Linked DNA regions of Sus scrofa. The protein of the gene in region 7 purifies or fractionates together with the protein of the main gene of each other region. This does not show direct contact. Links are inferred from orthologs where the notes say so. Each region holds a gene or a part of one and is shown on either strand. Other genes may lie near its edges.

Region 1 (4,616 bases), on a different chromosome or scaffold from region 7:
TAGGAGAGAGAAGAAAAACCAGGAGGCTTGCAGGTCAGAAGAGATCCAGGGGGACTTCTGGGAATCCAGGGTCAGGATCAGTCAGAGGTATCCTTCAACCTTGAGCCAAAGAAAAGAGGGCCAGAAGGACTCGAGGGACATCTAGAGACAGGTACTTCGCCCCCAGCTGGGAGCCCACCAAGCCTTGTCACCAGTCAGTGCAAACACCAGGACCAGACACTGCTGTGGGTGGGGATTTTTCAGACCATATATGCACCACTGATCCCCAGAAGCTGTGGGAGAGCTGGCTGGGGTGTGCAGGTCTTATTTACTGGAAGCAGGGACACCATTCAGAAAGCAAGCAGATGGGCAAGGCCACCCAACATAAGGTGAGACAAAGGAGAAAAGATGGGGTGAGCACAGGGAAAAGAGCCCCCAGATCTAACTTGAGGCTCCAGGCGCCTCGAAAGGAAGCCAGGGAGCTCCCTGGTGGCCAAGCAGTTAAGGATCCAGTGTTGTCACTGCCGTGGCACAGGTTTGATCCCTGGCCCGGGAACTTCTGCATGCCACAGGTGCAGCCAAAAAAAAAAAAAAGAAGAAGAAGGAAGCCACGGAGCAGAGGAGCCCCCAAAAACTGGAGCTGGGAAGCAGGCTGTGTGCCTCTCTGCACTCCTGGGGCCTAAGGCCACCTGGCCAGGGAGGCCCGCAGGAAACCCTCGCCAGATGAACTCATGCACTCACTCTTCCCCATGGACTTGTTCCATGGCTCCTGCAAGCGAAGCGTGGGGCATAGGGAGGGGAACGAGAAAAGGTCTCTGCCCTCGTGAACTTGACAACTTGGGGACGGCCAGAGAGCAAACGGGGCCAAGGAGAGCACAGAAAACCACATACAAGGGATCGCAAGGTGCCAGGAAGAGGGCACAGACCCCCGTGCCTGTGGATGCTCTCAGGGGGGAGCAACATTTTAGCTCAGCTTCCGGGGCTGAACATGCCCTTCAGGCAAAGGCTGAGGGAACAGCTACCTCCTGTTCTGGAGCTGCCTGCAGCCCCCACATTCCAAGAATGTCCATTCTAGAGCAGAAGTCCTCCTTCTAAGGACGTAAACCCAGAGTTCCCGTCACGGCTCAGCAGAAAGGGATCTGACTTGTATCTGTGAGGACGCAGGTTCAATCCCTGGCCTTGCTGAGTGGGTTAAGGATCCAGCGTTGCTGTGAGCTGTGGTGTAGATCGCTGAGGCAGTTCAGATCTGGCACAGCAGCTACAGCTTCTATTCGACCCTTACCCTGGGAACTTCCATACATCGCGAAAGCAGCCCTGAAAAGGAAAAAAAAAAAAAGTTTTAAAAAATGAAGACGCAAACCCGAGGTCACCCCCTGGCTCCAAGTCTTCAGTGGACCCTCGAGCCCTGACAATGGAGCCTGGCTCCTTCATAAATAACCTGGGTCCTTCCTGCCTCATTCCTCAAGGTCTTGCAGCAACACAGGCCAGGCCCAGGACCCTGTCTCCCTGGGCTGCCCTCCTGTTCTTGGACTTGACCTCAGCTGCCAACCCCCCCCCCGCCACCCCCCCGCCCAGGCACCTCCTCACCTCCCCCAGCCCTAGAAAGACAGGAGGGCACTCAGGAAAGCGACAATGGGTCTTATTTCTCTCCATATAACCAGAGCCCAGCAAAGAGCCTGGGGCAGGATATGTTCCCAGTGTATCCTGATAAACTCATCAAGGGTTTTTTTTTTTTTTTTTTTTTTTGGTACCAAACCACCACAGGCAGGAGTGGCCCACAACCTAGGGCAGATCAGAAGCACCTGAGAAAATTTCCAACCTACCAATTAGGGTGGGGGAGGGGCGAGGAAATTACATGAGGATCTCTGGAGGTGGGAGACAGAAGAAGAGTATTTAAGTTTTCCAAGTGATGAGCTATACTTCAAAAAAAGAAAAGAAAAAAAGTTTTCCAGGTGTTGAAAATCACTGGTTTACACCTGTGTTCCTCAAAGCAAGGGTAACCTGCCTCACCTGGAAAGCTTCAAAGATAAAGATCCCCTATGTTGGGCATTCTGCTGCATGAGGGTCTCCGTGGCGACCCCAAAGCTCTATTTAAGATAGACCCCAGCTGATTCTAATATCGGGCCTAGAAGGTTCCGTCACAGCTGCAGAGAGCGGGAAAGAGGAGCAGTTATCCAGCACTGAGTATTTTCAGACCCATGCTAAGCGCTTTATGTACAGAAACTCACCTAAAACTCTATCAGCATATTTTGCAGATTTGAAAACCATGCCTGAGAGCTCTTCCCAAGACTCAAGGTCACATAGCCAGTGATAGGAAAACGGTGCTTCCAAAACTTTCCTGAGAACTATAATAAATCAGCTATGTGTTTTCTATATGTGCATACACGTGTACACACACATACACACATAGGATACTAAGATATTTGCTGAAAATACACACTCCTAGTCCCCACCCCAGACCCCCCAAGGAAGGAGCTAGACATGAGCATTTTTGTAAGGGGAAGGGGATGAGGCCGGTCTGCCATCCTTGCACCGTGCAGGCTGCCTACTGGGCAGCACCGCGCGAGCAGGGACGCCAAGTAACCCTCTGCTGCACCAAGAGTCAGAGGGGGCCGGCCGGTCCTCAGGACTCCAACAGCCCTCTATGTGAAACTCTTCAACCAACACTGCCACTTCGCCCGCCCAGGCCAAGCCGAAGTACGAGCCCGTGGCCCTCCCGGCGGAGGTGGCGTTCGAGGGTAGCGCGGCGTCCCGGGCAGGTGAGTAGTCAGGGTTCCAGGTGCGCCCCAGGCCCGGCGGCCCCCTTACTTGGCATAGTAAACCCAGCCGTCCTTGGTGGTTCTCTGCTCCCAGCCCGGCGGCAGCTCGTCCTCGCTGTCCGTGTCGTCCAGGCCCGCGTAGCGCAGAGCTGCCATGGCTGCAGAGGAGGCGCCGGGTCACCCGCTCGCTCAACAGCCCACTGCCGGGTCTCTGCGCCCAGGAACTCACTCCTGCTACAACCGAGCGCCGCGCGCCGCGGGTCCCGAACGCTCGCGCCTGCGCACTGCGCCTCCCGGTGCCCCTCAGCCGACACGGCAGCTGTAATCCACGCTCCGCAGTTTCGCAGCTGCTGGAGAGAAAGGGGGCGGGGCCCAGGAAGCTTGTGGGGAAAGCACGGACGAGCTCGCACGGCCGCTCGGCTGCAAGTAAAAAGCGGTAAACCCTCCGTGGCGCTGGAGATGGAGCCGAGCCTCGAGACCTCCTCTCCGCAGGCAAGGGGCGTGGGCATCCAGTCAAGGTCCAGGACTCCGCCCGTTGCTGGGCGACCCGTAGTCATTTCCGCGTTGTTCTAGCCAATCCTGCACGGGCGCCAGCAATTGGGCATCCTGGGAAATGTAGTCCAGACCTGGTCGGCATAGACAGTGGCGTCTAAAACAAGCAGGCAGAAGCTGCCTCTCTGGCTTCTAGCCTCTCCTTTTAGGACTTTACCAAACGCGAATGAACCCGCTCAAGAACGTTCCAGAACTTCCTATGACCCAGGCTGACTCGCAGACTTTGTTGCAACACTGCAAAACATGGGAAACATCAGAAACATAAATCCTGGCACCTTCTGCTGCCCTAACTTGGATACTTTTCTTCCAACCCCAGCACGGTTCCATTGATTTCTCCTGACTCGGTTTCAGGAAAAAGCAAGCCTCCAGCAGAGAAATTACAAATTTGAAAGGAGGGAAAGTGGGGAAAAGGCAGTGTTGCTTTTTCTCTTCTTCATGCCTTGAGACTGATAGTGCTTTGGGATTCCTGCTCTGCGTGTTTTTTAGGGGAGAAACTTGTTTTCCTTGGAAATCTACCCAACCAAAAGCTAACTTAACAAAAGCGTGTTTTAGTTTTAACGAACCCACTATCCCATCATAGATCTATCATAACATCACTCTGCAAATCCATGTATGTTTAAGTAAGCTACTATTAACTTGCCGATCTTCTGCTCACCCCAGTTTAACCCCTTGCCCCTGTCACCTAAGGCAAATGATTCCTTTGATATGAATAGGCAATTAGGTCACAAAGTCCCCTAATGGGGAGGGGGATGAACGCAGTCAAATGGCTCAGCCTCTGTTTCTCCAATCGTTGTCTGCAGCCTCTGCTCAGCTTCTCAAGAAACTAGTGCTTAGATTTATTTTGGTTCCCTGGCCAGGGCCTCTACTGGCACCTATTGCCTGTGACATGACATTATTCCACAGACAGTGCTAGAGCACAGCGTCTTCCCCCAACCTGGGTTGTGCCCAGGCAGGATTCTCAACTTCTTCAACCCTCTGCTCTTCCTACCACTTCAACAGTTCCGCCCAGGCTTCTCCTGCCACGGGCACTAGGGTTCCTCAATCTCAACACTACGGACATTTGGGGCCACATAATTCTTTCTGGGAGAAGGGGGGCTGTTCTGTAAGATGTTTAACCTCTAGCCTCTGCCCACTGGATCCAGTATCATCCCCTCCCCCACAGCTATAACAACCAGAAATGCTCCAGGCCTTGTCAATTGTGCCTCTAGTTGAGAACCACTAAGCCACCCTTAATCAGGAAATTACTAACAAGTGAATCAAATGCTGAGCTTTACCGAGGCATTGAAGAGCCAATTTCTGGCCAGAGATTCATGACGTGGTACTCAG
Region 2 (4,676 bases), on a different chromosome or scaffold from region 7:
CATCCCACACCTTTCATCAGAAGTGAGCTTTCAGTTTATTGAACAATGGAAAACACCTCAGAGGTCAGTGGTTAGCATGGCCAGTGAAAAGGAAGGAGGAAAGAGCAAGAAGCACATGAGACAAAGGTTTCATTCAAGGATTTCTGATCAAGACGCAAATAGATATCTCAGTAGACAGGGGAAGGGATTTGTACCAAGGGAGCATTTGATTGGGGAGTTTGAGCTGACTTTTCCAGGTCAAGAAAGGAAATTAAGGAGAAGAAGAAAGAATGAAGGAGAATAAAGGTACAATTTTAACTCCCGTTGAGTTGGAAAGAACCTTTAGAAGAAACTGAGTCACTGAGAAGGTGAGTGACTCGTCCAAAGCACACAACTAAAACCCAGGTCTAGTTCTCATGCTTTGTTCTGACTTCTTACTCTCCACTGCTCATCTGGCTGTGAGGGGAGATTATCTGATTTATAAATGGTTTTATGGCTCTCCTTCTCACCACTCCATAAGTTACCTTGGCCCCCAGGGATATTAGCCTGAGTGTTCATTTTGACCTACTGATTGGTCATGAATAGCCCACCAGGGAACAGGGGCAACCCCATCCTAGAGGGTGTTGCTTTACAACAAAGCTGCTCTGACGCTGAGTGGTGGCAGTAGTTTGAGAGCAGAAGCCAGCCAGTCTTGGGCTGCCATCTGCCCCCCGGGGGCCCAACCTGGGCAAAAGTCCCCCGGCAGGTGTGTGCAAGACCTTGGAAAGGGAGCATGGCAGCGCCTGGGCCAAGCAGGAGCCTTCCTGGGCCCAGCTGGAGAAGGGCACTACCAGCTCACATAGAACCCCCATGATCAGACTATGAGTTACCCAAGGGCTGGCTTATCAAACGGTTGTGTCCCTTCTCCATTAGTACCCATACTCCCATCTCTCAAGCGCTGTCCTACTTCACCCAGGGCACAATTTCCTCATCTCTGTGCATCCTCTCCAACCCCCTCCCTTGATTTAACCATCCCCCCCCTCCAGTCCAGAGTGAAAGCGAAAGCGCTTTGGAACAGCTTCCCCTTAACGCTTCCACCTAAGGGCCAATGCATCCCCTTTCTACCAGCCTCGCGTGCCCAGTCCCTTCGCGGACCCCTAGACGACCCCCTCCAGAACAGAGACGCCTGTATTCATTTCAGGGTGCAAGCAGCTGGCTGCTACAAGCTATCTCCTCACGCTTGTTAGTCTTCAAATTTACTCCTTGGCGCTTCCAGGGTCCCCTTGTCGCTCCACCCCTCTGCTGGCCCTCAAGCCCAGACTCATTACCCCAGTGTGGACTTCTCCGGCCCGGGGTAAGTCCCCAGTAGGTCCTCCAGCCCGCAGCATCCCGGTGCCACGCTCCTCGCTGCCTTGGGCACTGGTTTCCGACCTGGGACAGCACGGGGTGAGCTGCCTTACAGCCCCGCCCCTTCACCACGCCCGCCAGGGGGCGCCCGGGTCCGCTCCTTGCGGCTTCGCACCCCTGCGCCAACCTGTGTGGTGCAGGTCTGCCCGGAGACAGATGACGTAAGATCCCTACCAAAGGGCTGGGGTGAAAAAGTCCAGACCATTGGATCCCGCAAGAGGAGGCAAGGAAAGAAGGAGGGTCTGGCGTTGGTGATAGTGAAGGTGGAGCGCCAGGGCTCCTCCCCCAAACCTCAGATCTGATGCCAACGCCCTCCTCCAAAATAGTCCGGGCTGGCCGCCTTGGGGAAGTGGGCGGGTCTAGTGAGCCGGCGGCCGCTTTCGTTTTCCCTTTCCCATAAACCGCTTGCTTCCAGCTCGCTGAGGCGGTCCAGGTCGGTTCCCGGGACTTTCCGAGATCCCCGCCCCGGCCCGCCCCTGGACCCTCCCCGCTGCGGGTCCGGGCCTGCTCGGGCACCCACTCCGACAGCATCCAGAGAATCCAGCCCAGCAGGGATAGCGAGAGCCCCAGGCCGGGGGTCGACCTCGTACGGCCAATGGCCAGCTCGGGGTCCTCCGCTCCCTGCGGGTGTCTCTGCGTCTCCCGAGCTTCCCTCCCTTGGCTGGGGGCAGCGCTGCTGCTTCTCGCCGACTGGGTGCTGCTCCGGCCGGCGCTGCCCCGGATATCCTCCCTGCTGCTGCCCCCAGCGCTGCCGCTGCTCCGGGTCTGGGTGGTGGGCCTGAGCCGTTGGGCTGTGCTGTGGTTGGGGGCCCGCAGCGTCCTCAGGGCGACGGTTGGCTTCCGGGAGAAAAGCACAGGACTTCGGGGATGGCTGGCAGCTTTGGAGCCGCTGGCGGCGGCTCTGGGCTTGGCTCTGCCGGGACTTGCCTTGTTCCGAGAGTTGGGCTCGGGAGCGGCTGACAGCACGCGGCTACTGCACTGGGGGAGTCGCCTCGATGCCTTCGCCCTCAGCTATGCGGCGGCATTGCCCGCGGCCGCCCTGTGGCATAAGCTTAGCAGCCTTTGGGTGCAAGGAAGTCACAGAGGCTCTGGAGTGACAGTGAGCCGGCTTCTCGGCTGCCTGGGCTCAGAGATCCGCCACCTCTGGCTCCTTCTGACCCTGGTGGTCCTCTCCAGCCTTGGTAAGGGGGATGCGGGGGGAGGGAGAGGGAGGCTAGAGGGCTGGGTAGGAATCAAGCCTAACGGTCAGTGAGATAGACAGGTGTGAGTTCTCGGAAATGTGGATAAGAGCAAGCCCACCCCGCTCAGGTCCACTTGGTGGAGAGGAAAGAGCCCTGGACTGGGTGGGAGTCAGGAGTCCTGGACTCCAGTGCTGCTCAGGTGTTGCTTCACTGGCCACCTTGGGCGAGCTCTTTCCTCCTACCATCCTAGGCTTCTTAATTAACCCTCTAAAGGTCTGGTGAGGCCACAGGATTACGAGTTCCCCGGGGGCCCATTCCAGTGCCGAGAGTGTGCGCTGTTTCTGCAGGATAATGGGCAAGGGTGAAGGGAGGATGGGCGGGAGGTGCAGCCTGGTTAGAGCTGAGCTGCTTAGGCTGCTTAGACTTGCTCTTTCTGACCCGCCCATCTCTCCTCTCCCTCCCCAGGGGAGATGGCCATTCCGTTCTTCACAGGCCGGCTCACTGACTGGATTCTACGAGATGGGGCAGGTGCTGCCTTCACGCAGAACCTAACTCTCATGTCCATCCTCATCATAGCCAGGTCTGACTGCTGAGCTTGGAAGGCTGGGGACGGGGGACCCTGAAAAGGGCGCAGTTGGAAGTTGGGGCCGCCCTCCAAAGTGCACTTCTACGGGGTCCCTGACCGACCGGCCCTCCTTCTTTGTCTCCCTCTAGCTCGGTGCTGGAGTTCGTGTGCGACGGGATCTATAACAGCACCATGGGCCGCGTGCACAGCCACCTGCAGGGAGAGGTGTTTCGGTCTGTCCTGCGCCAAGAAACAGAGTTTTTTCAGAAGAATCAAACAGGTGTCTTATGAACCTCTTTCATTATCCGTCTGTTTTCTATTTGTATCCCCACACTTCATCTTTTACTTATAATCTTGATCTTTCTCTCACACACACACAAATGGTGTCCCTTTTTATTCTTGATGTACTTCAAGAGCAAGATATGCTCTTTACCTTTAGAAAAGCCTACTGTTGGAGTTCGCCGGTGGCTCAGCGGGTTAAGGATCTGGTGTTGCCACTGCTGTAGTTCTGTGGCTGCTGTGGCTCAGATCGCTGCTGTGACTCAGTTTGCTTCTATGGCGAGGTTCCATCTGGCCAGGGAAATTCTGCATGCTGTGGGAAGGGCAAAAAAAAAAAAAAAAAAAAAAAAAAAAAAGACAAAACCAAAAACACAATAAAACAAAAAAAAAAATGATTAACCTACTGTTTCCACCCAAGATTTTTCCATAAACTATCCCTATAAGTGTATTTAGGTAGAATTTCAAACCTGGAAATTTTGAGATTAGAGAGTCTAGCTGACTCATTTTACAGAGAAGTGAAATGAGGTCTAGACCTAAATGCCAACATTTGCATGGATGCACATGGATGAAGACAAACTTGAGAGCAGAACCCATGTCTTGATTCCCAATCCAGTGCTTGCTGTGGTTTCCTGGACTGCTCTCTAGTAGTCTCTCCATTTTTCTCCAGCTCTTGTATGACCAGCTTAAGTTCTTCCTACCTATGAGCATGGTATATACAAGTTCTTTAAGGAACAGACACCTGTCAGAGAAACAGAAGTTCACATGGGCATCCATTTCTTTAAAAATTTTTTTTTCTTTTATGACTGCACCTGTGGCATATGGAAGTTCCTGGGCCAGGGGTTGAATCAGAGCTACAGGTGAGGCCTGTGCCAGTCATGGCAACACCTGATCCAGCATCTGTGACCTACGCCACAGCTTGTGGCAACAGCTGGTCCTTAACCCACTGAGCGAAGCCAGGGTTCCAGCCTGCAACCTCACAGAGACGGCGTCAGGTCCTTAACCGCTGAGCCACAGTGGGAACTCTGGGCATCAATTTCTTTATAGTTAAAACGAAGGTCTTTGGCCAGGCTTTTCCACTCTAACACATTTTTCTTGCATTATGTTTCAGTCCTCCCCCAACCACAGACCTTGTTTTCCTGACCTTCTTTGTCTTTTTTTTTTTTTTTTTCCCCGCTATTTCTTGGGCCGCTCCCGCGGCATATGGAGGTTCCCAGGCTAGGGGTCGAATTGGAGCTGTAGCCACCGGCCTACGCCAGAGCCACAGCAACGCGGATCCGAGCCAAGTC
Region 3 (4,073 bases), on a different chromosome or scaffold from region 7:
CCCTGAACAACCATGAATTCATGTCCCATTCCAATGATCCAAAGTGGATCATGATATTTTTTCAGAATATTTTCATAACTTTAGTTTTAAAGAAGTGTTACATCTGCAAAGTTATATGGTGATACAATTTCCAAAAAGTTTAAATGGAAAAGGAAAACAGTCACAATCTAGCAAACCAAAAGGGCAAGATATAACACAAGGGCCCAGCACATTAGAGGGAGGGAGGGAGGAAGAAAGACACATGAGGAGCGAGTAGACCCAAATGCTCAGCAGTGGTCTATCATAGGTGGTAGGCTATCACAGGCTTGGACCCTCGACCTGGACCTCGTGGCTGGTGGACCCTCACAGGAATTTTCTCCTTACACACATAAAAGAAGGCTTCAATCCGTTTTAGGTACTCTTTTACCTTATTGTGGCTTCAAAGACTTGGACGGTGGAATCTTTGTCAAATGAAACTGTGTTGATCACTAACTTGACTGCTTTCTGGAACTCGGATGAATTTCCCATTATCTTTAAAAAGAGGAACACAAACCATTACCACAGCCTGAAGTGAAACTGAGGCTACATGATGGCAGGGAGGTAGGCCACTTCATCTGAGTGTCTCTAATGTGTGGTTTTACCATTTGTGGGAACAGAAACACAAAAGGCAGAAAAGCACAGTTATCTCTTAAAATATGTTCTGGGACAGACATCAAGTCCATTTCCAACAACTCAAGAGTCCTAACTCCAAATGGCGAAACTGGGAAAATAATTCTTCATAAGATCATTAGCACTCCTCATTGATCCCACTCCACTCTCCCTCAACTTCAACCTGATCTTATTTAGCATGCAAGGCATTATAGTTCCTGAAATTACTGAAATGAGTAAAAATAAGCCCCCAAACTGAACAAACAAAAAACATAACTTTGCTGCTCCTCAAGTAACTGGACAGCTTCGGCGCTTGGCTCCCAGGAGACCAAAACATCTGGGAAACCGACTTGTGACTTGTTACCCAGATATCTGAACAATTTGAGAAACAGTGGTGTTATCTTTTAGAGCATAACAGCATAAAACTAATGACATTCAGGACAATCAAAACATAGACATAATCAACTCTACGTCCTTTGTAAAAAGTGATCTAGAATTATGATTTCTATTTTGGGTGCGTGGATAAGGTATTCTAAGCTTCTCTCTCCTATATGAAGTGCAAATTGGGTGTAAAATTTGATACTTAACACTGAACTGAAATGCTTTCATGCTATTCAAAATTTCATGACAATTCTGGGACTGTAATGACATCATAAGGACACACATGAAAACTAGAAAAAACAATTCCATTCAGACACTACTTCTTTCAGGTATGTCTTATTTCCTAGTATTTATTGGTCTTGTGCATTTTTTTTTTCTTTTCACCCCCCTCATTGTTATTTTGCTGTAACATGCAGAAAAAGTACAGACATTTCTTTTCTGGCTTTCAGATCTTTCTTTTTAAAGGATTATGCAATCACGCTGCAAGTTGCATCAAATGGTCAAGGGATTGCTATCGTCCAAATGTTTCCAAAACACACCCATTAAAGTTTGTTTAAAATGTTAGCAAAAGAAAAGGGAAACCTCAACAGAAGTGACACCTGAAAAATAAGCCTGAAGTATACTTTAAAGACCGGATATTCTGCAATGAAAACCACAGAGATGGGGTTGTTTCCTTACAGATGTTCACCAGCAGCAATATCTGTTAGCAGCTGCAGGTGCTAATATGGTCTAAATCACGTGGGGGGTGGTGAAAGAAGCCAACAACTTTCAATTACGTGTTGTAATTTACCATTTTAGACAGGAACAGAAGAGAGTAACGAGGCTATGAAATCATTCACTTAAGAAAAGCTGGATTGGACAGAAGAGTTAAATGGGTTTCTCTACTGTAGAATTTCTCAGAGCCTTTAAAATGATGGTGTATACTGTGGCTCTCCAATAAGATCACAGACTTGGAAAATTTCTCCAGTTCATTTGGAACAGAATTCTTCTTTCAGGGAATTTACCCTTGGAATCTGTGTTGGGAAATTCAGATTAGTAGAAATTCATTTTCCTGACATATAATTGCACTCCTACTAAGTATCAGACACCATTAGGTGTGGAGAGAGAGCAGTGATTAACAGAGACAAGGTCTCTGTATTTAATGAGCATGGCAGGGGGATAAACAGACACAATACAGCAAAAAGACAGAGCTCAGGGAGAAAAGACCAGCTTTCATAAGCTATCTATGAGTCCTGGGACTTTGTTTAAAGCAACACTTGCAGGCTGAGTCAGCCTCTGCCACCTTCAACAAGTGTAATTAGGGTGAACATACATGTCTGGGCACATTCTGATCAGTGATGGTGGATAACTCAAAAATGGAGCAGCAATAACTTCAGCAGGAGATATTGGGAAACTTTAACTGCCTTGCAACTGGCAGGATGAAACCCCGGATTTCCTATTTGACCAGCCTAGGAGGATGTAGACAGACCTCTCAAGTTCCAGCAGTTCTACTACTAACAAGATCCTGCTCATTCATAGTGCAAGCTTGAAATAGCATCACCCAATTCTAATTCTGGACAGCTTTAAATTCTTTTTAAGGAAAGAAAATGGAGGATTGACATTGATGAGAGTAAAAATTTTCTACTGGTAAAGCCTGGCTGGGCAATGAAGGGGAGCAGAGGTAGTAAAATCTTATTTACTCAGAAAACTTTTAAACGCTATGTGGAACTGAGTCCCCTTGCTGGATTCTAGAGCAAAAAGTCAGGAAGCAGAGCAAGCACACATGGCAGTCTGGTAACAGGTACCCTCCACAGGGCTTTACTGCTTTCAGTGCGCTTCTAAAAATCTGTTCCAAGGTCTCTGGAGGCCTTGAGGGAACCAAGAGATGAGGAGGTAAAGGTGGTCCCTGAGTTGGCAGCCCAAGGCTGGAAGGGGGGTGTCCACAAAACACGGAAAGCAAATAAAAGGAGGCTGTTAACAGAGAGGGTCTCTGTGCAGAGGTGGGGGGCCAGGGCTCAGATTCGCTCTCGCTCTTGGGATGCCAGGACCCAGCTGACGTTTCAGGGGATCTTGTCCTGTGAAGGCCTTAAGATCCTGATGACTTATCTTGTACTTCTCAAATCTTAACTAGAGTAACTGTACACTGGTTCCTTTAAGGAATGAAATAGTGGGAAGCTGGGAGAAAAACAGCTTCTCCCAAAACAAAAATACTTTCTTCTCCCTTTTTTTAGGGAAATCACACTTCCCCTCTTTTAACCTCCGACGCTTTTTTTTGCTCCCAGCATTAAGCTCATTAAAATAAACAAAAGCTATCAGAGCTATGAATACATTTTGAGTATTAAGCTTCCTGGAACTCTCATTCCTGGAGGAAAATTAATGTTAATTAACTCAAAAATACCTTATCTTAATTAATGTTTAAAAATAATAACAAAGCTGAACACTTAACTGCAAGTGTATCCAATGCATCAACAAGAGTCAATGAATAATTCCCAAGGACATCATTGATGTTCAAATTTGAACTGAAAAACAAGGAAAATTCAAATTAAACAAAGGCACTTTACTTTAAAAGAGAAAAAAGATAATAAAACTAAACAACCATCAGAAACTAAAATTGTTGGAACCTCTTGTTTATTCAGGGATTATTGTGGATGGATTAGTATGGTGATGGTGGTTCTACCTCACAAGTGATGGTTTCTGTAGTGTCACAGGATAGCAGACACATGCACACTTATACTATGGTGGAAAGAACACGGAAACAGGAAGCCAGGGGACGGGAACAAGAGTCACTGCCCTCTCTGAGATTCTGTTTTATCACCACAAATGATCTCTCCGTCCAGCTTCAAAAAGCTCTGATTTCGAAATCGTTAGGAATGAAAAAGGAGAGCCTTGTCACATGACCTGCAAATAAAACTTCAGAAACCAGACACTCCAGCAGATTACACACAAAAAGAAGCAAATAAATACCTCAGTTACAGTCTCAATATCACTCATCTGTCCTGTGGGTGGGGGTAATAAATTATTTGCTTTATTCCCTTTCTTTTTTTTCACTAACATCTCACCCCAAGGATCCCCTCCTGCTCCATCAA
Region 4 (4,073 bases), on a different chromosome or scaffold from region 7:
TAAGCTGCTTGAGGAGTTACTGACATTCCTGAGTTGGGTTTAGCAAGTGAATTGGGGGTTCCCCGAGACTATCCTCAGGCTTGATGTTTTGCAAGAAGGACTCACAGAACCCAGGAAGACTTTTATACTCATGGTTTTTATTTATTACCAGAGAAAGATACATATTAAAATCATCAAAAGGAAAAGGGAAAGCATATGGGGCAAAGTTGAAGAGAAACCAAGTTCAAGCTTCCAGATGTCCTCCCCCAGTGCAGTAGCACAGCTGCACTCCATAGCTTAGCAATGAAGTGTAGCATGTGAGAAGTGCTGACAACCAGGGAAGCTTACTGGAGCCTTGTTGTGCAGGGTTTTTATTGGTGGCTCAGCACACAGGCTTTGTAGCATTCTTATCAAGGAGAATATTTCAAGGAGTCAGAGCTCATCTCCCAGGAACTGGCCAAGGATCAGTCCTGAAGTTAGGTATGTCTTTGGAATGTGCAGGGTTTGAGCAACTTGGGCCTGCTGAGTTAACCCTTTCCTTCACTGCAAGTTAGCTGTTCAGAGTTAGTCGTCTTCTGGCCTGTCTAGTTACTCTTTTTCTGGTTATGGTAGACCTCCTTGGTCTCATCACAGATGGCCATTCTGCAAACCTGGACTCTTCTGTTTCCTTTGCCAACATGTAATTGGAAAGTTTGATCTCTGCTTCACAGTTTCATGAGATCATAGTGAAATCTAAGTGGCCAATTCTGTCATTCATCCAGCGTTATTTGAATGTACCAGTCCTAGTGGTAGATGTGAGTTTATAGAAATGATTATTATGGGTCTCTGCCCTCAAGGATCTTAGAGTTTCATAAGGAGAGGAAAAAATAATAACTCTGGGTAAGGAGTGTATGCTTTGGAGAGCATTAACCTTGTTGGAGAGTTTAGTAGAGGTGTACGTGTGTGTGTGTGTGTGAGTGTGTGTTTGGGAAAGTGTTGGTGATAATTAGAAGACTTCCCTTCATTGGTTACTCCTCAAGTTGAACTATAAAGATCATATAGATAAAAGTGGGTATAGAGCTAGTGTTTCTCCAGTCATTTCTGTAGCCAGTTGCTAGTGTGGTTGGAGCATATATGTATTGTTACCTTGCTTATGAGAAAGTAACCTAATTCTAATTAGAACATACTGGTCTTTTTTTAGGGTTTACACAAGAATGTCTGACAAATCTATTTCTTTTACTCCATTACTATAAATCCACCCTTGACATTTCCAACCTACACTGAGGCGGTAGTAGTATTTTCACATATTGCTCTCCAGTGGGGGGTGTATATGAATGTCTGGTTTTGGACTTAAAGGAATAAGTATAACCTTTAAAAATTTCAATGTACCTTTTTTCAAATGGGTTAGCAAATGCTTATCTTAATGTTAATGAAATTACATGTAATAATGTTTATATACTTGGAACTTAAAAAGTTTTAGGAAAGAACCTGGGTCCAGATTTCATCATATTTGGCTCCTACATATGTATGCTTCTTAACAGAATTTGGAACTTCTTAGAGTAACAGTTTTGTTTTGTTTTAATTTTATTGGAGCATAGTTGATTACAATGTTGTGTTAGTTTCAGGTATACAGCACAGTGATTCAATTATATATGTACATGCATCCATTCTCTTTCAGCTTCTTTTCCCATTTAAGTTATTCTAGAATATTGAGTAGGGTTCCATGTGATCCACAGTAGGTCCTTGTTGGTTATCTACCTGATATGTAGTAGTGTGTACATGTTAATCCCAAACTCCTAATTTATCCCCCTGCCATTTCCCCTTTGATAACCATACGTTTGTTTTCAAAGTCTGTAAGTCTGTTTCTGTTTGGTACGTAAGTTCATTTGTATCATTTTAAAAATTAAATTCCATGTATAAGTGATGTCATATGATACTTGTTTTTGTCTGACTTACTTCATTTAATATGATAATCTCTAGGTCCATCCACGAATTTTTTTTTTTGAACAGTGCAGAGATTGTATGATTGTAATAGAATCAGGAGTGTATTGATTTAGAGATTATGGGATAATTTCAGATTGTTAACCTTGAGAATTTTTTTCTGATAGGGTCTTTTTCTCTTTTTCCAGCATTACAGTGTTTCTGCCACCTTTGCACAAAAGACAATTTTACTTGTGTCACAGATGGGCTCTGCTTTGTCTCCGTCACAGAGACCACAGACAAAGTTATACACAATAGCATGTGTATAGCTGAAATTGACCTAATTCCGCGAGACAGGCCATTTGTATGTGCACCTTCTTCAAAAACTGGGTCTGTTACTACAACATATTGCTGCAATCAGGACCATTGCAATAAAATAGAACTCCCAACTGTTGGTAAGTTGTTTAAGATTTTTTTCTTGATACTACAAGAAAAGTTCTTAGAGGCTGCCACTGATTTTAGAGATGGAAGGGATCTTAGAAATTGTCTACCCCAGCTTATTCAGTTTAGAGGCAAGATCTAACTTGTCCATTGTTGTAGTTATAAGGGTAGCCAAGATCTTGACTCCTGGGTGTGTGTTGTTTGAGAAGGTAGTTCCACGATCGACTTTCTCTGAGGTCTGTTATGCCTAAAAGAGTAACCTCTTTTAGCAAATCCTGATAAAGCCATCACAGCAGTATGTCCTCACAGTGTCTCTACTTTGTTCTTAGAGTGAATTTTTTTACTTTTATAATACTCCAGACTTTTTTTTTGGTGGGGTTGGGTGGGGTTTTAGGGCCACACCCGAGGCATATGGGAGTTTCCAGGCTAGGGGCCAAATTGGAGCTGCAGCAGTGGCAGTTCAGAGCCACATCTGCCACCTACACCACAGCTTGAGGCAATGACAGATTCTCCACCCACGAGCGAGGCCAGGGATAGAATCCACATCCTAATGGATACTAGTCAGATTCTTAACCTGCTGAGCCACAACAGGAACTCCTAGTGCTTCAGACTTTTAAAGCAGTCAGTAATGGGCAGGAATTGAGAGCAGCACTAAACAGTCCAGATATCTCATTTTGTAACTTCAACTTGCCTTATGATCTTTATGTATAAATTATTATATGATTTCTAGGTTTTTCATCATTCACCATAGTTTACATTTTACTTTTTTTTATTATTGTTATTATTATTATTATTTTTTTTTTGTCTTTTTAGGGCTGCACCCACGGCATATGGAGGTTCCCAGGCTAGGGGTCCAATTGGAGCTGTTGCTGCCAGCCTACGCCAGGGCCACAGCAACGTCAGATCCGAGCCATGCCTGCAACCTACACCACAGCTCGCGGCAATGCCAGATCCTTAACCCACTGAGCGAGGCCAGGGATCGAACCCTCAACCTCATGGTTCCTAGTTGGATTTGTTTTCCCTGCACCATGACGGGAATTCCCCCATGGTTTACATTTTAAAACTTAATAAACTCTTAGGATTAGATTCATTTTAAGGCTCTGGTTTAGGGTGTCAGTCTGAGCTCATGTATTTAACTCTTATGTCATTTTCCTCAAATCCCAAATACCTATTATAATAATATATAAAGGAATAAAAAACAAGGGAAACCTGTATTAATGATAGTAGAATTAATGGAAGACATGCCACCCACATGCCTATACTTGTGAAGAACTCTGTAGTTTATAGAGCAGATAATAACAGACAAGTGAAAGAATCTCTTGCAGAATCCCATAGTACCTTAAGCTGATGAGCTGGGTGCGAGGTTAGGCTGCAAGTACGAACTCTTACTTCTCCTTTAAGAAGCACCTGCTTTCAGTACTGAGGTGCAGAACACATGGCTCACTTTCCACTCAGCTGGTCTAGGCCCATGCTAATTATAGTAGGAAGCACAGGAGTGCCTGTTGTGAAACAGTGGATTAGGAATTTGACTGCAGTGGCTTAGGTTGCTGTGGAGGCACAGATTCAATCCCTGGCTCAAGTGCAGTGGGTTAAAGGATCTGATGTTGCCACAGCTGCAGCTCAGAATCATTCCTTAACCTGGAAACTTCCATATGCTGTGGGTGCAGCCATAAAAAGGAAGAAAATAGGAAGCACTGTTGTAGCTCAGGGGAAAAGGGCCAGACCTGCCAGTTGTGGAAGGAAGGCAGTCCTCC
Region 5 (2,848 bases), about 1.2 Mb from region 7:
CCGGACAGGCAGCCCCAGAGAACAGGGACCAGGGGTGTGCGGGGCAGCAGGCAGGATCACTCCACATCAGGGAGCCTGGCCCCACCACCCTCCAAGCTCATAGCAGTGTTCTAGGCTTCTGGAGCCACTCCTCGTCCCAAACTGGGTGTCACATTGGTCCCTGGAGTGCCCAGACCCCATCTCACAGGAAGGAGGGATGGGTTTGAGAGGTGATGAAGTCTTGCAGCCAGCTGCCCCTTGCTGGGTCCCAGACCTCAGCCCAAGCCTGTTTCTAATGTGTGCAAAGCCAGGCCACAACTACAACCTCCAGCCTGGCCAAGGCCTGGCGGCCAGGAGAGGTCAGAGCAGGCAGGGCCAGCAGCCCTGACCCCGCCCCATGATCAGGCCCCAGCCCCTTCCCTGCTGGGAGGGCCTCACTCACTCAAACTCTGTCCTCAGGTCAGGCAGCGCATCCTCCTTTAGCACCTTGCCCCCCTTCTCCCAGCGGTGGCCCGCGATCTCAGTGGCGCTGTGATTCAGGGCACAGGTGAGGCGTGTTTTGGAGCCAACATCATCTATCGAGGTCCAGATCCTGCTCCCTGGGCAGCCAAAGATAAGGTGAAAAGGGAAGAACCCAGGCCACTGGCTGCTTGTCCCCATGGCAAACCCGAGTGGTCCCAACCCCGACCGCACAGAGGGAGAAGCCAGGGCTGGTTCACAGAGCTGAGCACTGTGGGGCCCCTGGAAGGACCTCCCCTCGGGGTCAGAGGCAGGATTCTGGGAGGAATGGTCTCAACTGGCTGGGCCTAGGTGTGGGAACAGAAGCAGCGCCCACCCTGGTCTGGGTACAAGGACCAAGACAGTGACTGCAGGGTCCAGCGCCAGCAGACCCCAAATGCCCCTTTGGAAAGTCAGTCTACTGCTGCCCAGGTCACCATCCCCTCTGGGTGGCGTTGCATCTCCCCTCCCCTGATCAAGGCAGGCCGTCTGAGGTGGGTCAGGTGTGCTGTTTCCTCCTGCCTGTGAGGCTGGGGTGACCCCCAGAGCCTTGGAACAGCCGGCAGCCCTTCCACTGGTTTCTAAGCAGGTAAACCACCCCGTCCTCGAAAATGTTTTCTTTAGGAACCAAAACATAGAAAACACTTAGAACTAGACAGTAAGAGACATGGCTATGAGAGCTGAGAGACTGGGCTTGAGCTGGGAGGATTCCTCTGCAGGGAGGGCCCTGGGGCATGAGACCCCAGACCTCCATGTGTTTGGGATCAGGAGAGCAGATCAGAACAAGAACCCTTTTGCCGGGCAGGGCTGCAACCCCCATCAGTGGAGTAGCCACACTACAGCCCTGTCCCAGAGCAGACAACACTGTCCCTGGGGACGGTGGGGACTTTATAAAGGTGGGTCTGAGGCACAGCAGTGTTAGCGCAATTGTTAGCCTACCCAGAAGTGACCCTCTGGAAAGGCCACCCACCCTCACATATCTCAGAGGCATCCCCTGGAGAAGGTCATGGACACAGGACACGGGCTGAGAGCCAGCCCAGGAAGAAGCCTGTGGTGTAAAGTCAGGTGAAAGAGCAGAATACAAGCCTGTACTTGAACAACCCAGCCAAGTAAGAAGGCACTGAGGGGAAAGCAGCTACAGGGACACAGACGACAGGCCGGCAGCCAGGCAGCAGCTCTTAACACCCACTGGGCAAGCCACCCTCCCTAGGTCCTTGCTTCCTCCCTGGGGTTACATGGTGACTTCTGACAGTGTAACTATGCGAGCACAGAAAAAACACACGAAACTGGGTGGAATGATCAGAGGTCGTGACCCCCACTTGGACAGTCACCTTAGCCACCTGGCAGTCAGATCAGCGAACCTCAGTCCCGAGGAAAGATATCCCCACAGCAAGAGAAGAGGGTACCTGGCTGCAGAGGATACCAGGTTCACACTCACACATGAGCAGGGCTGGCCTGGGCTCCCTCCGTCCACAGGGACGCCTTAGCTGCTAGGAAAATGAAAGCCCGGATCCCAAGCCAGACTTTCCCATCAAGCCACTTTCTGGAACGGCTGCAGACAGAGTGCACTGTGTCCTCTTCAGGCATCTGAGATCCGGGCCTGGAGGACATGGGTCCTGCCCAGGCCTGCCTGTTAGGTTCTTGCTGGGCTGACCATGCTCCACTCTGTCCCACTATGGACTGGCCACAGGAGGGCCCTGGCTCCCCAGGTGCATTTCCAGCCTGCGGGACGCTGGCCTCTTGGTGTAGAGGTGGGACCCAAGGCCAGCCCATGGACAGGATGTGTGCATGGCCAGGCCTCAGTGCCCCACCTCTGGCTACCCACTGGGTCTTTCTTTAAGAGAAGACAGGATGTCTCAGAGGCCCAGGTCAGCAGGGACGGAAGCAAAAAACTAGATGGCAGTGCCAGGGGGAGAGCAAGGAGGCCCCTAGCGGTCCACACCTGTAGCTACTTGTGTATACACACATACACACACTCACAGGCACGTGTGCTCAGAGTTCCCAGGCTGTGTGGGTGAGCACAGCTACTGGCCACAAGGTCCTGGGGACAAGCCGACCTTCACATCTGCCCACCTGGGGCCACCAAAAGGCAACTCAAGCCTCAGGCCAAGCAGTTACAGCCAGATAGGGCATGAGGCTGGATGCTCACCTCTATACCACTTTCACCAAAGAAGGCCCCCTGGCAACCTGCACTTCTCCAGTCAAGATTTCCCAAGACTGCAGAACCAGCAGCTCCTATAGCAGAGCTGGGATTGGTGAGCAGGGTAGGAAGTCAGGCCAGAAGCAGCCCTTCTCCCAGACGGGACCTGCCTCTCTCCAGGAGACCTGGGCACCCAGGAGCTTCTAGAAAGATTAGTCAGGTCTTGTCCAG
Region 6 (3,079 bases), about 14 Mb from region 7:
CTGTGTGGCCCAGGCTTCTGTGGGCTTGCCTGGAGCAGGCGCCCCCACGTGGCCATTGGTAGGAACGCCCTTGCTGGGCTGTCGGAAGGACAACATCCGGCTTTGCTTGCTCTTCCGGTCTGTGTCCTGGAGCTGCACGGGCTTTTGCGGGGCGGGGCGTGGGGGGAGAGGAGTTGCTGTAGGGAACTTGGGTCCCACCAAGCTGTGCACTGTGACATCTCATTCCCCACAGATCCGCAGTGGTACCCTGCCCGCCAGTCCCTCCGCCTGGACCCCAGTGAGTACAGCTGTCTGCCTGGCTCCCCCTGGGCTTTTGGGTGGCAGTGGGTGGAGGCCCAGGCAGCCCCTGAGCCCTGGCCCACCTCTTGACAGAGGGCAAGTCCCTGAAGGATGAGGACGTTCTGCAGAAGCTGCCTGTGGGCACCACGGCCACACTCTACTTCCGGGACCTGGGGGCCCAGATCAGCTGGGTAACGGTGAGTGCAGATGCCCCTCTCCCAGTAGCCTTGACTCTCATCTGCCACATTGTGGTGACTCACTTTGCCCCTCCCCAGGTCTTCCTGACAGAGTACGCGGGTCCCCTTTTCATCTATTTGCTCTTCTACTTCCGGGTGCCCTTCATTTATGGCCACAAATATGACTTCACGTCCAGTCGGCATACGGTGGTGCAGTGAGTAGGGCCAGGTGGGAGCTGGTGGCAGAGGGAGGGGAAGGCCTGCCGGACCTGCCCCTGCTAAACTGACTTCCCCGACAGCCTCGCCTGCATCTGCCACTCATTCCACTACATCAAGCGCCTGTTGGAGACGCTCTTCGTGCATCGCTTCTCCCATGGCACTATGCCCTTGCGCAACATCTTCAAGGTCAGCCCCCAGCTGCCCATCCCAGGCCCCTCACCCTTGGCCCGCCCTCCCTGGTCTTCCTCACCTCCACTGGGGCAGGCTCCATCCCGGCCCCGCTCCCTTTCAGAACTGCACCTACTACTGGGGCTTTGCTGCATGGATGGCCTATTACATCAACCACCCTCTCTACACACCCCCAAGTAAGTGGCCTTGGACCCTGTTCCCCCTGTGAACAGCCCCCTCCCTGACCCAGGCTCTCCCCTGACAGGCCTTCCTTTCTGCTTCCTCTTCAGCCTATGGAGCTCAGCAGGTTAAATTGGCACTCGCCATCTTTGTGGTAAGCAGTCTGGGGTGGATGATGGGGTTGGGGGAGTCTGTGGGGGTGCCCTCCGAGCTGACCCTGCTTCTTTGACAGATCTGCCAGCTTGGCAACTTCTCCATCCACATGGCCCTGCGGGACCTGCGGCCAGCAGGTGAGTGGCCTCCTCCAGGCAGGGGGGCTGGCTTCCTGGGCAGGCTGGGCTGGACTAGGGTGTTCTCACTTCTGTCCTGTCCTTCCAGGGTCCAAGACCAGGAAGATCCCATACCCCACCAAGAACCCCTTCACATGGCTTTTCCTGCTGGTGTCCTGCCCCAACTACACATACGAGGTGAGGGTCTGCCTGGCTCCCCTCCCCTGTCCCTCCTGGGGTTCGGGATCCTGTGTGGAGGGCTAGTCTTTAGGAGGGGGGTTGCCTAGCTTCGTAGCTGCTTTCATAGTTTGAACTTAAAGTACCTGGAGAAGGAGATGGCCTCTTGGGGGCCGGGGGGGCAGCTTCACCATGTAGTCCCCCCTTCACCTCCTTTACTCCAGGCCCTTCGAGCCCTGGAGTTTGGTTCCCACCCCCTTACTAGAATAGAAAGTAAGGGTTGGTGGGGAGGTGGCTGGGAGGGTGGGCGGGGTCTTGACAGAACAGCTGGGGCTGTGCAGCCCTGCCCACCCTCGCCCTGCCTGCCCCGTCCACAGGTGGGGTCCTGGATTGGCTTTGCCATCATGACACAGTGTCTCCCAGGTGAGCCTGCTGCCCCTTCCCCAGGTGGGGCCTGTCTGCCCTGGTTGTGTGCAGCCCTCCCTGACTCCACTGCTCTGCCCTACAGTGGCCCTCTTCTCCCTGGTGGGCTTCACCCAGATGACCATCTGGGCCAAGGGCAAGCACCGCAGCTACCTGAAGGAGTTCCGAGACTACCCGCCCCTACGCATGCCCATCATCCCCTTCCTGCTCTGAGCGGCTCCCCCCACTCAGGCTCAGGCAAGCTGGGCTCTGTCCCCCTGCCCCGCCCCAGTGTCATCCTGGGGGAGGGGTGGGAACTGTTGCTCTCTAGTGCCTGGAATAAAACCTGCCTGCCCAGCTGGACTCAGACTCAGGGTGTTTCTTTTGGGGGTTGGTTTAGGGACCAGCACACGACAGAAAGAGGCAGAGTTTGGGCCAAGGGGCCTGGAGGCTTTTATTTCTTGACTGGTCCACAGGGTGGTAGGTGGGCCCACTACAGGGCCATTTCGGGAGCCACCTCACCGGGCCCCTGGCCTCTGGCCATTTCTGCTTCCCTCTGCTCCCGCCGCTTCTTCCGCTGGAGCAGCCGCCGCTCCCGCTCAAACTCCTTCATGCGCTTCACGTAGCTGTGGGCAGAGCAGAGAAGTGGTGTCAGGTCCCCCTCCCCCAGCCAGGACACAGCCGTCCCATAGTCTGAGAAACTGATGGGACAGGAGCACGTGGCCTGTGGCACTTGGGGGGCCTGAATAGGAAAGACCTGTGTCTGTGGATTGTCTGGGGACCACCCCCACCCCCTCAGGTGGACACCAGTGAACCCAGAGCAGGGGCTGGGCCTCCCACCTCAAAGGTCCAAGGCAGCCTCAAAGCCACTATCCCACCCAACAGCCCCTTTGGGGTCCTCTTTCTATTGAGGTGGAAATTTGGAGGGATGGGGTGTGGGGCTCACTCTAGGTGCTCGCAGTAGTCCCAGTCATGCTGCTCATGCTTGCAGGCCAGAAAGTTGGGGAAGCTGTCACGCTTGCACTTGAGCAGCTGGATGAGGTAGTGGGCGCAGTAGTCCCGCTGCTGGAGCATCAGCTGTGCGTCGTTCATCTCCTGCTGCGTGGCCACCATCTCTGCAGAGGACCGGTGGGGCTCAGCCGGGGCTTGCTAGCTGGGGCCTGACTGTTGGGGACTCCCTCCCAGTCACACCCCAATCCAGGGAGACTT
Region 7 (4,073 bases):
TCAACATAAATTCAGGTCTAGACTCCAACTCCTTTTAATTTCTAATTATCACCCATGATTGTGATTCAAACCAACAAGCTTCCTCTGCCTGGCACATTCCAACAGCGTGTATTCTTTTTTTTTTTCTTTTTAGGGACACACCTGTGGCATATGGAGATTCCCAGGCTAGGGGTCTAATCGGAGCTGTAGCTGCCGTCCTACGCCACAGCCACAGCCACGCCAGATCCAAGCCGTACCTACAACCTATACCACAGCCACAGCAACGCCGGATCCATAACCCACTGAGTGAGGCCAGGGATCGAACCTGCAACCTCATGTTTCCTGGTCAGATTCGTTTCTGCTGTGCCACAAAAGGGAACTCCCAAAAGCCTCTACTCTTATCAACTGCTGGCAGGAGTCAGTACAGACTTCTTCAGGGATGATTTAAAAGGTACACCATCTTCAACCAGATTATTTCACTTCAGCTAACTTCCTAAAGAAATAGTTACCACATACATTCAGAAGAAAAATCACTTAAGTAAGTAAGGACTAAAAGCAAAAATGGCAATTCACCAAAATGGCCATAGACAAAGCAGCTAAAAGGCAATTTTTAATTTCTCATTAATGGCTCAATTAAAAACACATTTAAAAACAGAAAAATATACAGTTTATACAGAGAGATGCAGACCTATACCGCACATTTGAAAATGTAACAAAGTAGAAATTAATGATTTTAAATAACCTGACTAGAAACAGAAGTGAGACCAGGGTCTGAGTGGTTATGTCTATAGTAAACTCGAAGCTTTATAATATCACCACCTTTATTCTTATCATCTCATTTGAGCCTCACAGTCTTTTTACAGTGGAAAATACTGAGGTCAAGTAATAAGCTGACTTGTGGTCAGGAAGCCAACTCCCATCACAGTCCTCTACCCACCCCATCACAAGACATTGCCAATTTGAATTCTGTGGCTACCGCACCCCTGCCACACAGGAGCAGGGTAACCAAATCACAAGTTTCCCATTTTTTGTTTCTTTTTGTTTCTAAACATAAAAAGCAATTAGGAATGCTCTTCCTTCCAGCTTCCAGGTTTATCTTTTTAATAATTAACACATTAAGTTCCCTCTCAGTTTTGAAGTTTACTTTGTTTTTAATACAACAGTTTGAATATAGTGATCAAACTGGCAGCCTCACTACAGACAAAGCTTGTATCTGAACACAGAGATCAATGAAGCAACTCAACCATTAAGAGGTACAAACCTGGTAGTTAGGATTGTCAATCATGGGAGGTTTCCATTTGCCCTTATAATTAGGGTTGTCAATCATAGGTCGCTGCCAGACACCACACCCAGGGGCCGACTCACACTTGGGGTTGGCAATCTGAGGAGCCTCCCACTCTCCATCCATATCTTCATCCCTGTGGAGATATAAACAAACTCCAAGTGAATTCTATGATGCAGGACTATGAAAAGCTGTCCCAGGGCTTCCCTGAAATCCTGCATGATAATTTCTAAGTGTTGTACTACAGAGCATCATCTTGTTTTCACATTTCCAGCAACAAGGGTATTTCATGAGAGGTGCATTAAAAAAAGAGAGATGAAAACGTAATTAGTTTGTTGAGCTCTACATTTTGAGCACTTGGGTGTATTTAGGTACTAACTTTTACTTCAAAAAAAAAAAAGTAGGTAAGTTTAAAAGTTAACTAAAGCTCGGAGTTCCCAAAGTGGCTCAGTGGTTAACGAATCTGACTAGCATCCATGAGGACGAAGGTTCAGATCCCGGCTCAGTGGGTTAAGGATCTGGTGTTGCCGTGAGCTGTGGCATAGGTCACTGACGTGGGTCAGGTGCTGAGTTGCTGTGGCCACACAGCTCCAATTAGACCCCTAACCTGGGAACTTCCACATGCTGCAGGTGCAATGGAAGGAAGGAAGGAAGGAAGGAAGAAAGGAAGGAAGGAAGGAAGGAAGGAAGAAAAGTTAACTAAAGCTCATACCAATCCTCTGGCTTCTCTGCATCTGGATCAGGTACATATTCAGGCTCATCATCTAACCAGCCTATAGGCTTAGTGGCTTCTTCATCTGGAATCTTAGCAGGGGCATCTTCATCCCTTAAACACAAAAGAAAAGGTCAACTGACAACACTGGCCAGTAAATCACAATGTGGTCCCACTTTGTGAATCTTAGGGCAATCTAAAAATATCTTGGGAGTTCCCCATGTGGCACAATGGTATCATCAGCATCTCTGCAGTGCCAGGAGGCAAGTTTGATCCCCGGCCTGGTACAGTAGGTTAAGGACACGAGTATGCCACAGCTGTGGTGTAGGTCACAACTATGGCTTGGGATCCCTGGCCCAGGAACTCCGTATGCCTTGGGGCGGCCAAAAAAAAGAAAAATGTTGGCAATGTGGAGAAAATGAAACTCTCATACACCACTTGTGGGAAAGCACAGTGGTGCCACTTTGGAAAACAATTTGGCAGTTCCTCAAAAAGTAAAACATAGTTACCATATGACCCAACAATTCCACTTCTAGGAATAACGACCAAGAGAAATTAAAATGGACATTCACCCAAAAATCTATACATGAATGTTCGTAGCGTTATTCATTAACCACATACAAAAAAGGGAAACCTACATACTGATTAAATAAAGAATCGATAAATAAAATGTGGTATTATCCATACAATGGAGTACTACTCAGTCATAAAAGGGATTGATACATGCTTCAATATGGATGAGTCTTGAAAACATTATGCTAAGTGCAAGAAACTGCCCACAAAAGACCACGTATTTTATTATTCTATATCCAGAATGGGCAAATCCATAGAGAGAGAAAGCAGATTAGTGGTTTTCAGGGATTAGTGGAAGGCAGAGATAGGGAGTAACTGATTAATGGGTATGGGCTTCTTTTTTAAATTCTTGGTCAGGATTATGCTTGTTTTTGAACTATGCTTGTCTTAAAATTACCTGTATGAAAACTTAAACTTGTATATCATTCAGTGGCCTTTTAAACTGAACATTCACCCCTTACTCCCAAGATAAAATAGCTAGTTAAGGAACACAATACTGAATAATAAGGCTGAATCCAAACCTGGTATTCACCAAATATACAAATAAACTCACCCTTTATAGCCATGCACTATCAACTAGAATTTAACTGCTAAGCCTAAGAGGATACTTTTACAAATGGAAGATCAGTCTTACTATTATTCTGTGTTTACTTTCTGACATTGCCAAGAGTCACTGCACTGTGTTCAAACATGGCAATACATAAGAGTATAAGCTGCTTGTTTTCTCACCAGGCTCCAATGTGTTCCCTACATAAAAGGCTACATATACTCAATTTCCCTCATATATATGTTCAGCTCACTCCTGTTCCTCTACTTTTCTACTTTTGCACATATTCTTTAACCAGGGATTACCATTTCACATCTGCAGCAGTTAGTTAATTCTTGCCCCACTTGCAAGTTTCAGTTTGATTTGCCCTGCTCCAAGAAACTGCTAGAGTTAGGTATACCTGGTGCCCTGGTAATCAAGTAATACCTATTAGACCACTTACCACAAACACGTCAACTTCACTTGCCTGTCTTACAACTCCACTCGGAGTTGCATAGGCAGTTGGTGTCCTTGTGGCTTTGTATTCCACCGCCCAACAGAGAGCAGTAATCTCCTGAGTATTGTTTCAATAGGAAAGAGGTAATTCTTCAAATTAAAATTTAAGATTTTATGGAGTTCCCACTGCAATGTAACAGGATCAGCGTCTTAGGAGCATTGGGACACAGGTTTGATTCCCAGCCTGGCATAGAGGGTTAGGAATCCTGGCATTGCCGCAGCTATGGAGTGGGCCACAGATGTGGCTCATATCTGATCCCTGGCCTGGGGAACTCCATATGCTGCAGGATGGCCAAAAATAAATAAATAAAATAAAATTTATAATTTTAGGACTCCAGCTTTAAATACGAATTCATAGAAGCATTAGAAAGGCTGGTCCAAGAGACTTGAGGTTCTGCCACAAACCAAAATGTTACACAGGCAAACTATATCATTGGTTTTAGCATTTGGTGGCTTGTAAAATGGTGTGAGGCAAGGCAGGTGAT

What was found.
Region 1: the proteins of CANX (region 7) and WWOX purify together in Homo sapiens (affinity purification with mass spectrometry; 3 studies listed by BioGRID and IntAct, with this or other methods). This does not show direct contact. The link is inferred for Sus scrofa from reciprocal best matches to the Homo sapiens genes CANX and WWOX.
Region 2: the proteins of CANX (region 7) and TAP1 purify together in Homo sapiens (affinity purification with mass spectrometry; 3 studies listed by BioGRID and IntAct, with this or other methods). This does not show direct contact. The link is inferred for Sus scrofa from reciprocal best matches to the Homo sapiens genes CANX and TAP1.
Region 3: the proteins of CANX (region 7) and EDEM1 purify together in Homo sapiens (affinity purification with western blotting; 6 studies listed by BioGRID and IntAct, with this or other methods). This does not show direct contact. The link is inferred for Sus scrofa from reciprocal best matches to the Homo sapiens genes CANX and EDEM1.
Region 4: the proteins of CANX (region 7) and TGFBR1 purify together in Homo sapiens (affinity purification with mass spectrometry; 3 studies listed by BioGRID and IntAct, with this or other methods). This does not show direct contact. The link is inferred for Sus scrofa from reciprocal best matches to the Homo sapiens genes CANX and TGFBR1.
Region 5: the proteins of CANX (region 7) and BSG purify together in Homo sapiens (affinity purification with mass spectrometry; 3 studies listed by BioGRID and IntAct, with this or other methods). This does not show direct contact. The link is inferred for Sus scrofa from reciprocal best matches to the Homo sapiens genes CANX and BSG.
Region 6: the proteins of CANX (region 7) and TECR purify together in Homo sapiens (affinity purification with mass spectrometry; 3 studies listed by BioGRID and IntAct, with this or other methods). This does not show direct contact. The link is inferred for Sus scrofa from reciprocal best matches to the Homo sapiens genes CANX and TECR.

What each region holds. Positions count from the first base shown.
Region 1 is NC_010448.4:9,867,797-9,872,412, forward strand, and holds the start of WWOX (WW domain-containing oxidoreductase), read right to left. Parts: upstream 3,253-4,616; 5' UTR 2,895-3,252; coding exon 2,788-2,894; intron 1-2,787. UniProt on the Homo sapiens protein: Putative oxidoreductase. Acts as a tumor suppressor and plays a role in apoptosis. Required for normal bone development. May function synergistically with p53/TP53 to control genotoxic stress-induced cell death.
Region 2 is NC_010449.5:25,069,053-25,073,728, reverse strand, and holds the start of TAP1 (antigen peptide transporter 1), read left to right. Parts: upstream 1-1,739; 5' UTR 1,740-1,960; coding exon 1,961-2,546; intron 2,547-3,011; coding exon of another isoform or gene 3,012-3,038; coding exon 3,039-3,126; intron 3,127-3,260; coding exon 3,261-3,391; intron 3,392-4,676. Other genes in the region: PSMB9 (proteasome subunit beta type-9), read right to left, coding at 1,287-1,346. UniProt on the Homo sapiens protein: ABC transporter associated with antigen processing. In complex with TAP2 mediates unidirectional translocation of peptide antigens from cytosol to endoplasmic reticulum (ER) for loading onto MHC class I (MHCI) molecules.
Region 3 is NC_010455.5:61,709,824-61,713,896, reverse strand, and holds part of EDEM1 (ER degradation-enhancing alpha-mannosidase-like protein 1), read right to left. Parts: intron 3,507-4,073; coding exon 3,434-3,506; intron 511-3,433; coding exon 407-510; intron 1-406. UniProt on the Homo sapiens protein: Extracts misfolded glycoproteins, but not glycoproteins undergoing productive folding, from the calnexin cycle.
Region 4 is NC_010443.5:240,887,319-240,891,391, forward strand, and holds part of TGFBR1 (TGF-beta receptor type-1), read left to right. Parts: intron 1-2,087; coding exon 2,088-2,333; intron 2,334-4,073. UniProt on the Homo sapiens protein: Transmembrane serine/threonine kinase forming with the TGF-beta type II serine/threonine kinase receptor, TGFBR2, the non-promiscuous receptor for the TGF-beta cytokines TGFB1, TGFB2 and TGFB3.
Region 5 is NC_010444.4:77,737,926-77,740,773, forward strand, and holds part of BSG (basigin precursor), read right to left. Parts: intron 579-2,848; coding exon 422-578; intron 1-421.
Region 6 is NC_010444.4:64,722,852-64,725,930, reverse strand, and holds the end of TECR (very-long-chain enoyl-CoA reductase), read left to right. Parts: coding exon 1-277; intron 278-372; coding exon 373-476; intron 477-554; coding exon 555-670; intron 671-754; coding exon 755-860; intron 861-966; coding exon 967-1,039; intron 1,040-1,132; coding exon 1,133-1,176; intron 1,177-1,254; coding exon 1,255-1,312; intron 1,313-1,400; coding exon 1,401-1,489; intron 1,490-1,845; coding exon 1,846-1,891; intron 1,892-1,976; coding exon 1,977-2,104; 3' UTR 2,105-2,233; downstream 2,234-3,079. Other genes in the region: NDUFB7 (NADH dehydrogenase [ubiquinone] 1 beta subcomplex subunit 7), read right to left, coding at 2,364-2,496, 2,817-2,985. UniProt on the Homo sapiens protein: Involved in both the production of very long-chain fatty acids for sphingolipid synthesis and the degradation of the sphingosine moiety in sphingolipids through the sphingosine 1-phosphate metabolic pathway.
Region 7 is NC_010444.4:78,887,928-78,892,000, forward strand, and holds part of CANX (calnexin), read right to left. Parts: intron 2,088-4,073; coding exon 1,974-2,087; intron 1,398-1,973; coding exon 1,241-1,397; intron 1-1,240. UniProt on the Homo sapiens protein: Calcium-binding protein that interacts with newly synthesized monoglucosylated glycoproteins in the endoplasmic reticulum. It may act in assisting protein assembly and/or in the retention within the ER of unassembled protein subunits.